Linked DNA regions of Saccharomyces cerevisiae S288C. Changing the gene in region 1 together with any one later gene gives a genetic interaction. Each region holds a gene or a part of one and is shown on either strand. Other genes may lie near its edges.

What was found.
Region 2: mutations in ILT1 (region 1) and NAB6 together harm fitness more than expected from each alone (negative genetic interaction), as found in Saccharomyces cerevisiae (one large-scale study listed by BioGRID).

The regions. Positions count from the first base shown.
Region 1 is NC_001136.10:624,559-627,842, reverse strand, and holds ILT1 (Ilt1p), read left to right. Parts: upstream 1-1,844; coding exon 1,845-2,777; downstream 2,778-3,284. Other genes in the region: RLI1 (Fe-S cluster-binding ribosome biosynthesis protein), read left to right, coding at 1-1,135; VTC5 (Vtc5p), read right to left, coding at 3,122-3,284.
Region 2 is NC_001145.3:32,398-38,149, forward strand, and holds NAB6 (Nab6p), read left to right. Parts: upstream 1-1,845; coding exon 1,846-5,250; downstream 5,251-5,752. Other genes in the region: NGL3 (3'-5' poly(A) RNA exonuclease), read left to right, coding at 1-1,454. UniProt on the Saccharomyces cerevisiae protein: RNA-binding protein that associates with mRNAs encoding cell wall proteins.

The DNA.
Region 1 (3,284 bases):
CATTGGTATGTCATGTGTTCAAGAGGCTGATGTTTATATGTTCGATGAACCTTCATCTTATTTGGATGTTAAGCAACGTTTGAATGCCGCTCAAATTATTAGATCTTTACTAGCTCCAACTAAATACGTTATTTGTGTTGAGCACGATTTGTCAGTTTTGGATTATCTTTCCGATTTCGTTTGTATCATATATGGTGTTCCATCTGTTTACGGTGTTGTTACATTACCAGCCTCTGTCAGAGAAGGTATCAACATATTCTTGGACGGTCATATTCCTGCTGAAAACCTGAGATTCAGAACTGAAGCTTTACAATTTAGAATAGCTGATGCTACCGAAGACTTGCAGAATGACTCTGCTAGTCGCGCCTTCTCTTACCCAAGTTTGAAGAAAACTCAAGGTGATTTTGTTTTGAATGTTGAAGAAGGTGAATTCTCCGATTCCGAAATCCTTGTTATGATGGGTGAAAACGGTACCGGTAAGACCACTTTGATCAAATTACTAGCTGGTGCTTTGAAGCCAGATGAAGGACAAGATATTCCAAAATTGAATGTTTCTATGAAACCACAAAAAATTGCACCAAAGTTCCCAGGTACTGTCAGACAATTGTTTTTCAAGAAAATTAGAGGACAATTCCTAAATCCACAGTTTCAGACTGATGTCGTTAAACCTTTAAGGATTGACGATATTATTGATCAAGAAGTCCAACATTTGTCTGGTGGTGAATTACAAAGAGTCGCCATCGTCTTGGCATTGGGTATCCCAGCAGACATATACTTGATTGATGAGCCATCTGCCTACTTAGATTCCGAACAACGTATTATCTGTTCTAAAGTTATCAGAAGATTCATCTTACATAATAAGAAAACTGCGTTTATTGTCGAGCACGATTTCATCATGGCTACTTATCTTGCTGATAAGGTCATTGTTTTTGAAGGTATTCCTTCCAAGAATGCTCACGCAAGAGCCCCTGAATCTTTGTTGACTGGTTGTAACAGATTTTTGAAGAATTTGAATGTCACCTTCAGAAGGGATCCAAACTCCTTCAGACCAAGAATTAATAAGCTAGATTCCCAAATGGATAAAGAACAAAAATCATCAGGAAACTACTTTTTCTTGGATAACACCGGTATTTAAGCATCTTGGGATTCGGAGAACCAAGAGGACGATTGTTTTATTTTTGGGTTTAGAAATGTGGAGAAATAATTAAGAGTTATAATGTTTTTGCAAAACAAAATGAGTATTATATTACATTGAGTTCCTTCCCAAGCATCGGGTTGTTTATTTCTAGATATACGCCAACTAATACATTTCTAACTTCCCACCTTCATTACATCATAACCTGAAAGTGAACAACCTCCTCTTCGGTGATCCGTACTCCAGTTTATTTCATTTTTCTGTAAAGCAACTACACTATATTTATTCTCTATTTATTTTATATACCTATTGTATTTTAATTAATCGTTATTTTGTCCGCACCTTCTTCGTAATCGAATTTACCTTGTAAACGAGTCGTCATGATAAGCATTTGCTGCATTACTGAACGTTTATCTTAGCATGACATTAAAGTCCGTTTGTCTAAAATATCACCCAATTATTTCCGCGGTGTGAGCGCCAGATAAGGTGCTTCGGGTAATATGAGAACGCCGTTTCTTGATAGCATTTTTCAATGACTAGATAGGTAGATTACCTCTGTATCACACTTCTCGTACCAAACGAAACTCATATAAATAATGCTTTCCTTCTGGTGCCTTCTACTTTCCGCTGATCTCTATTTTCAAATTAACCGCTGAAATATAAACTGTGGAATACTATAACATAACATAGATTTAAGAATAAGGTATTCATGATCTCTGAAAAGGCTGCTACCGCTTTAGCTACTATAGCAACAGTTTGCTGGTGTGTCCAGCTAATTCCGCAAATAATATATAATTGGAAAAAAAAGGACTGTACGGGGCTGCCACCACTGATGATGTTCCTCTGGGTTGTTTCCGGAATTCCATTTGCCATATATTTCTGTGTTAGTAAAGGTAATGTCATTTTACAAGTTCAACCACACCTTTTTATGTTCTTCTGTTCTATAAGTTTCGTCCAATCGTGTTATTATCCACCAATCAGTATGGCGAGATCCAAAATAGTAATGATTGTAGCTGCTATTATTGCGGCTGATGTTGGCATGGAAGTTGGCTTTATATTATGGCTGAGGCCCCTTTACGAGAAGGGTGTTAAATGGCCCGATCTGATTTTTGGTATTTCTGCATCTGTTTTGTTAGCTGTCGGACTGCTTCCACCTTACTTTGAACTAGCCAAAAGGAAAGGTCGTGTTATTGGCATCAACTTTGCCTTCTTATTCATCGATTCATTAGGTGCTTGGCTATCTATCATCAGTGTTATCCTAGGTAATATGGATATTATGGGTATTATATTATACTCAATAGTTGCTGGAATGGAGTTAGGAATTTTCGCGTCTCATTTCATATGGTGGTGTAGGTTTAGATTCCTAGCTAAAGGCAATACTTTTGACGAAGAAAGTGGCCAAGCTCAAAAGGAAGAACCCGATGAAAAAATCGAACAAGATATTAGCAAGAGTGACCGAAATGTTACTAACTATAACCTGGATAACTGTTCAATCCCCGACGATGCTTCGAGCTTTGCAGACGATTTTAATATATACGATAGTACTGATGGGGGGACGTTATCAAGAGCCCAAACATTGCATGCTGTCCATGGAGTTGTGGTTAGAACAGATCCTGATCGTTATTCGAGGCTAAGTGTGTAACGAATCTGAGTCCTTTTTAGTTAGCACGTTTTCATCTCTTTTTGATAGCACGCTTAATAATATTCACCACTAGCGCAGTAATATGGCATCTGCCGCAGGTGTAAAGGTTTTCACTTCGCTTATATTCACAATACTATGCGTTCAAACACGGCCATCAGAAAAGATCAAAATAAGGATTATTAATTAAAAACTTAAACAGAAATTCAGTTTGCAACACCCTTCGCAATGGCGAAGTTTCCAAAAACAAAATCTCCAAACAAGATTAACATTCTTCTTATGTAACCACATGATATGCATATTTTATATAGACTGTACACATGAAAAACTTTTATCGTCCAAAATAATTAAAAGAAAATTTCAATCATACCATAGCACACTGTTCCAGTAACTGAGAAAAACATTGTGAAGCAACCAACATAATGCCAGATTGGCGCCAAAGTGAACCGACTAAATAACAACAACAGGCACGCACAGATCAAAATAAGGGAAACCAGTAAGGAAATGATA
Region 2 (5,752 bases), on another chromosome or scaffold:
TCGTTTCACCTAGTGAAGATGGCCCAGCACATCAAAAAATACACAGAGACCAATTAAGTGTGGATCAAATCAAGAAAATCAGAGAAGAACGTGCTCAGAAGAGACAGGTACGTAGGAACTCTCTAATATCCCAAGGGAAGGACCCTGACTTCCCAACGCCTGACTTACAATTCATTGAAAGACCATTCCTCCCTATCAACCATGATAATTCGAAAGGTCTTACGCCAGCGACCATACAAGTCACCCAAGATTCATTGGACGTTAAAATAATGACCTATAATACTCTAGCACAAACCTTGATTAGGAGAGATTTTTTCCCAGAAAGTGGACCAGCGTTAAAGTGGCATAAGAGATCAAAAGTTTTGGTCCACGAATTGAAAAAGTACAGGCCTGATGTAGTATCGTTGCAGGAGGTCGATTACAATGAACTCAACTTCTGGCAGGAGAATTTCCATAAGTTAGGGTTTGATGTGATTTTCAAAAGGCATGAAGGGAAAACTCATGGACTACTAGTTGCATGGAACAATAAAAAATTCCAGTTAGATAATGATTGGATGCTGGACTACGATAATATATTGGCGGGAAATGTCATTTCAGCAAGAACAAGAACTAAAAATATTGCCCTTATTATATCGCTATATTTCAAGGGTATAACAGATTCATCATCAAGAGGAATTATCGTCGCAAATACACACCTATTTTGGCATCCCTTTGGGGTATTTGAAAGATTAAGGCAATCTTACTTGGTTTTACAAAAGATCCAGGAAATTAAAGCATGTTCCAAATATAATGGCTGGCATAGCCTACTGATGGGTGATTTCAATACCGAACCTGAAGAGCCACCGTACTTGGCCATAACGAAAAGACCACTGATATTAAAAGGCCCAATAAGAGCTATGGTGGAATGCTCACTAGCGTATCGGTATTCAAAAAAAAGGAATGGAGAAGAAAGTGACCAGGATGATGAAGAGTGTGATGAAAAGTCTAGGGGCGAAGGCCATTCAGATCAACCACAAAACCCAAAACCAGAGAGCTTTACAGCCACAAAGGAAGAAAAGGCTCTGGTAAATCAATTAGTTGCGTTGCATAATTCACTACATGTGAAAGGCGTATCTTTGTATGGGATTGGCTACGGTAAAGTGCATCCTGAAAATGCTAACGGAAGCCACGGCGAACCGGGACTCTCAAACTGGGCCAATACATGGTGTGGATTATTAGACTACATATTTTATATCGAGGGTGATCATAATCAGGACACGCGTCAGAAAGAGCCTCTGAATGCTTTTGAAGGAAATAACAACGTAAAAATAATCGGATATCTGAGGATGCCGTGCGCACAAGAAATGCCCAAACACTCCCAACCTTTCGAGGGAGAATATGCTAGTGATCACATTTCCCTAATGTGCCAAATACGCTTGTTTTTTGGGGGGGAGAAAGTGCATAGCTTAAAATAAAGAAACAATATATATAAACAACCTACATTTGTGTTTGAAAGACAGTAATCAACGCTTCGATGGTCACTGGGATTTTTCTTTCAATTTAGCGTCACTTTCACCTTATTCACAGCTTTTACGTGCTATTTTTGGTCACCCTTCCCCTTTCGTTGCGCCTCAACGGGCTAAAAAAAAAAAAATAAAATCAAGCATAGAAACACCACAACAAACCTGCCCTTTTTCCTTGTTTCAGGTTACGTGAAAAGCATCCAGAGAAGATATCCCAAAGACTGAAGAGGTGTAGTTGGCTCATTCACGTCGTTCGTTTATATTATCAAGGAAGGGGTTTTTGATCGGCTCGAACAAGACTCGCAAGAATCCGTTTTCTATTGTTTTTTTTGAGGATTCCAATATGTCAAATTCCAATTCAAAAAAACCTGTTGCGAATTACGCATACCGTCAACAGCAAGATTATAATGGGATGAACGCCATGGTGGGAAATCCAATGATGTATCATCCTGTTGATTTCGTAAACGGTGCCGGCCAATATGGTCCTTCTCAACACCCAGCATATTACACCAACTCACCATTACCTAATATTCCACCAACACCTTTTGATACTGCATACGGTGCCAGTCTTTTTCCATCTCACCTATTGATGGGATCTCCATTTGTTTCCTCGCCTAACATGCAAAGTGGCTATAATTCTGCAAGATCATCTAATCTCAAAAGAAAGGCTTATTCGAGGCCCGTTTCTAATCATAACGGTTACAACGGAAACAGTAACAGTAACCAAAACAATACTAATAACGGAATGGTAACACCCTCGAACTATTATAGAATGGGGAGAAATTCTTTCTCGAGGAACAACAACAGTACGAGGAATGTTACTCACAACAACAATAAGGGGTGCGACACCCGGAACAACAGTGGAAGAAGAACATTCGCAAGGAATAACATTTTCGACGACATACTTCCAGAAATGCTTTTACAAAGACCCTTTTGTATTAATTACAAGGTTCTACCGACTGGTGATGATGCTTATAGAACTAGGTCGCTGCTTATTGAAAATGTGGATCATTCTATTGATTTACACTCTATAGTCAAAAATTTTGTCAAATCCAATACTCTGGAAAGTGCCTACTTAATTGAAGGAGGGAAGAGCGATGATTCAAAAGATGTAGAGACTAAAAATCTATCCATTCTAATAAGCTTTCTAACCAAAGGCGACTGTTTGAACTTTTACAATAACATTTTACAAAGGTTATCTGAATTCAAAACATTTTTGAAATCTGAAGCACTAAATCTGAAATTTGTTTGTCTAAACTATGATCCCAAATGCCTCCCTACCTTTATTGAGAGTGAAGCGTTAACAGAAAACGCTGAAGAAGCCGACATTACCAATGGTTCAACAATGATCAGTGCTTCGCTGCATCATAATATAGCGAACAAAGATGCTACAAGGTCGATTATAATTGAATTCAAAAGCCCCGTGGAGAAAAGCGATTTATTCAAAAAGAAATTACAATTTTTGGACAGGTCAAAAAACAAAAGATACATTTTGGAATCTATCGATTTAGTGAACACAGATGTACCTTCCAATCAATTTCCTGAAAATTACGCCGTTTTAACCTTTTTGAATATCTCTATGGCTATTGAAGTTCTCGATTATTTGAAAAAATACTCCAAAAACTTAGGCATTTCTAAATGTTTTTACGTATCCCTAGCCCCGTTGGTAGTTAGCTCAGCCAGATCTTCGGTTGCTAATATTTACGAGGGTAAAACGAGCACACATCGTTTATCGGTGCCTTCTGTTACTGCTGGGAACAATAACGATAGCAACAACAACGGAAACAATAATAAAAGTAATATGAGTGGTATCACCACACTCAATAATAATAGTAGTATTGGTGTTTCCGTATACGGTCACTCTAATATGAGTTTAACCAGTCTGTCATCATCTGTATCTTTAAATGAAGAGATTGATATGCTTGCGACGAAACTTCAAGGGGTAGAACTTGATGGGACTTATTTAGAAATCAACTATCGCGACTATCAAACACCAACTATTGAAGAACACTCTACTCACTTGAGCAATGTCAAAATTTCAAAGACAACAGAAAACTCTAGGCAATTTTCTCAAGATATCCCATCACCTTTGCCATTAAATGAACATATGTTTATGAATGATTCTAATCAGTCCAATGGAGCGATAATACCTCAACAGTTAATAGCCACACCTTCTCCGGTATCCCCCAATTTGCAAATGAATCAAAGGGTGTTGCCGAATCCAATAACTCAAAGTTTGGAGCAAAATTTCAACGTTTCGGCCAAAGTGGCATCATCCATGGGTTCAGACATAGGCAATAGAACAATTTATATAGGAAACATTAATCCAAGATCAAAGGCGGAGGATATCTGTAATGTCGTGCGTGGAGGAATCCTTCAGAGCATTAAGTACATACCGGAGAAGAAGATATGCTTTGTTACTTTCATCGAAGCTCCATCCGCTGTACAGTTCTATGCAAATTCATTTATTGATCCAATAGTGTTACATGGGAATATGTTGAGAGTTGGATGGGGGCATTATTCTGGTCCATTACCGAAATTAATCTCGTTGGCTGTTACGATCGGGGCAAGTAGGAATGTCTACGTAAGCCTACCAGAGTTTGCATTTAAGGAAAAGTTTATTCACGACCCTCAGTACAAAAAATTGCATGAAACACTATCTTTACCAGATGCGGAACAACTAAGAGAGGACTTTAGTACCTATGGTGATATTGAGCAGATTAACTATTTGAGTGATAGCCATTGCTGTTGGATAAATTTCATGAATATATCTTCTGCGATTAGTCTTGTTGAAGAAATGAATAAGGAATCCACAGTACAAAATGAATCCGGTGAAGTGACGCTTAAAAGGGCGACTGAGGAAAAATTCGGTGGCCGTTATAAGGGCCTTCTGATAAACTACGGCAAAGATCGTTGTGGCAATATAAACAAAAATTTGATAGCAGGTAAAAATTCAAGATTCTATAAGAAAGTTAAAAGACCGAGCTATAATATACGTTTGAGTAAGTTGGAAGAAAAGAGGAGGCAGAATGAAATCGATGAAAAGGAAAAGGCTTTTGATAAACCCTTGAACTTGGAATCCCTAGGAATTAGTCTGGACGCACATAAGGACAACGGCGGTGGTGAAACAGGAACTGCAAATAATACTGGGCATGAAAATGAAAGTGAACTAGAGGCTGAAAATGAAAACGGTAATGAGACTGGAAGTTTCGGTGGACTGGGTCTCGCTGTGGCGAGCTCTGACGTCAAACGTGCGACATCGGATGAAACTGATTATGAAGATATATTTAACAAGTCATCGGGATCTTCCGACTCGTCATCAGACGTCGAGGTCATTATGCACTCCCCGAGCGATCCTGAATACGCTTTAAAATCACAAACTCTAAGAAGCTCGAGTCAGACCGTCATTAATAGTAAGAGACCAGTAAAGATAGAAGACGAGGAAGAAGCCGTAGGAATGTCACAGCTCAATTATAGGTCGTCATTAAGACAAGCTCCTCCAAGAGCTCCCTCAACTTTGTCATATAATCACTCGAAGAACAACGAAACGCCAATGCAAGATATTTTCACAAATGGCGAAACAGCAAATAACAGAAAGAAGAAGAGAGGATCTTTTGCAAGGCATAGAACGATACCAGGATCTGACGTCATGGCCCAATACCTTGCACAAGTGCAACATTCGACATTTATGTATGCAGCCAATATTTTGGGCGCCTCTGCGGAAGACAACACGCATCCTGACGAGTAGTATAGCTGTGCTGAGCCTGAAGTATAATGCATATCCATCGGACTATTTAGACAAAGCCCAAGGAAGCCTAAGGCGGCCTGCCAAGGTGTTTCTCCCTTTTTTTCTCCGATTTCTTTGTATAAACTAAATAATATAGTGATTACTAATGGAATGGCGGTATTATGCACCTAACCTGTTCATTCTGCCACAGATTACGTAAGCGATTTATTGCCGGCACTTGTTGTCTTAATGACCGAGTCACCAATGTGGAACGATAATTTTCTCTGACTCAAACCTGTTAATTTTTTTCTACTTCGTTTCGTTAGCGACGACGTCAAGCCGCAGGATCCTGTCTGCCTTGACCTCTTCTCTACCTTCAGAACTTACACTTTTCAGGTAAGATGACCTTTATATAAAAGTTGACACTATTACAGTTGTTTATAAACGTCTGAAGAATGAGACGTTTTTATAAAATGAATAAAATGCATATTCTAAGTTTAAAACAACATTTTCAAAGTGTACG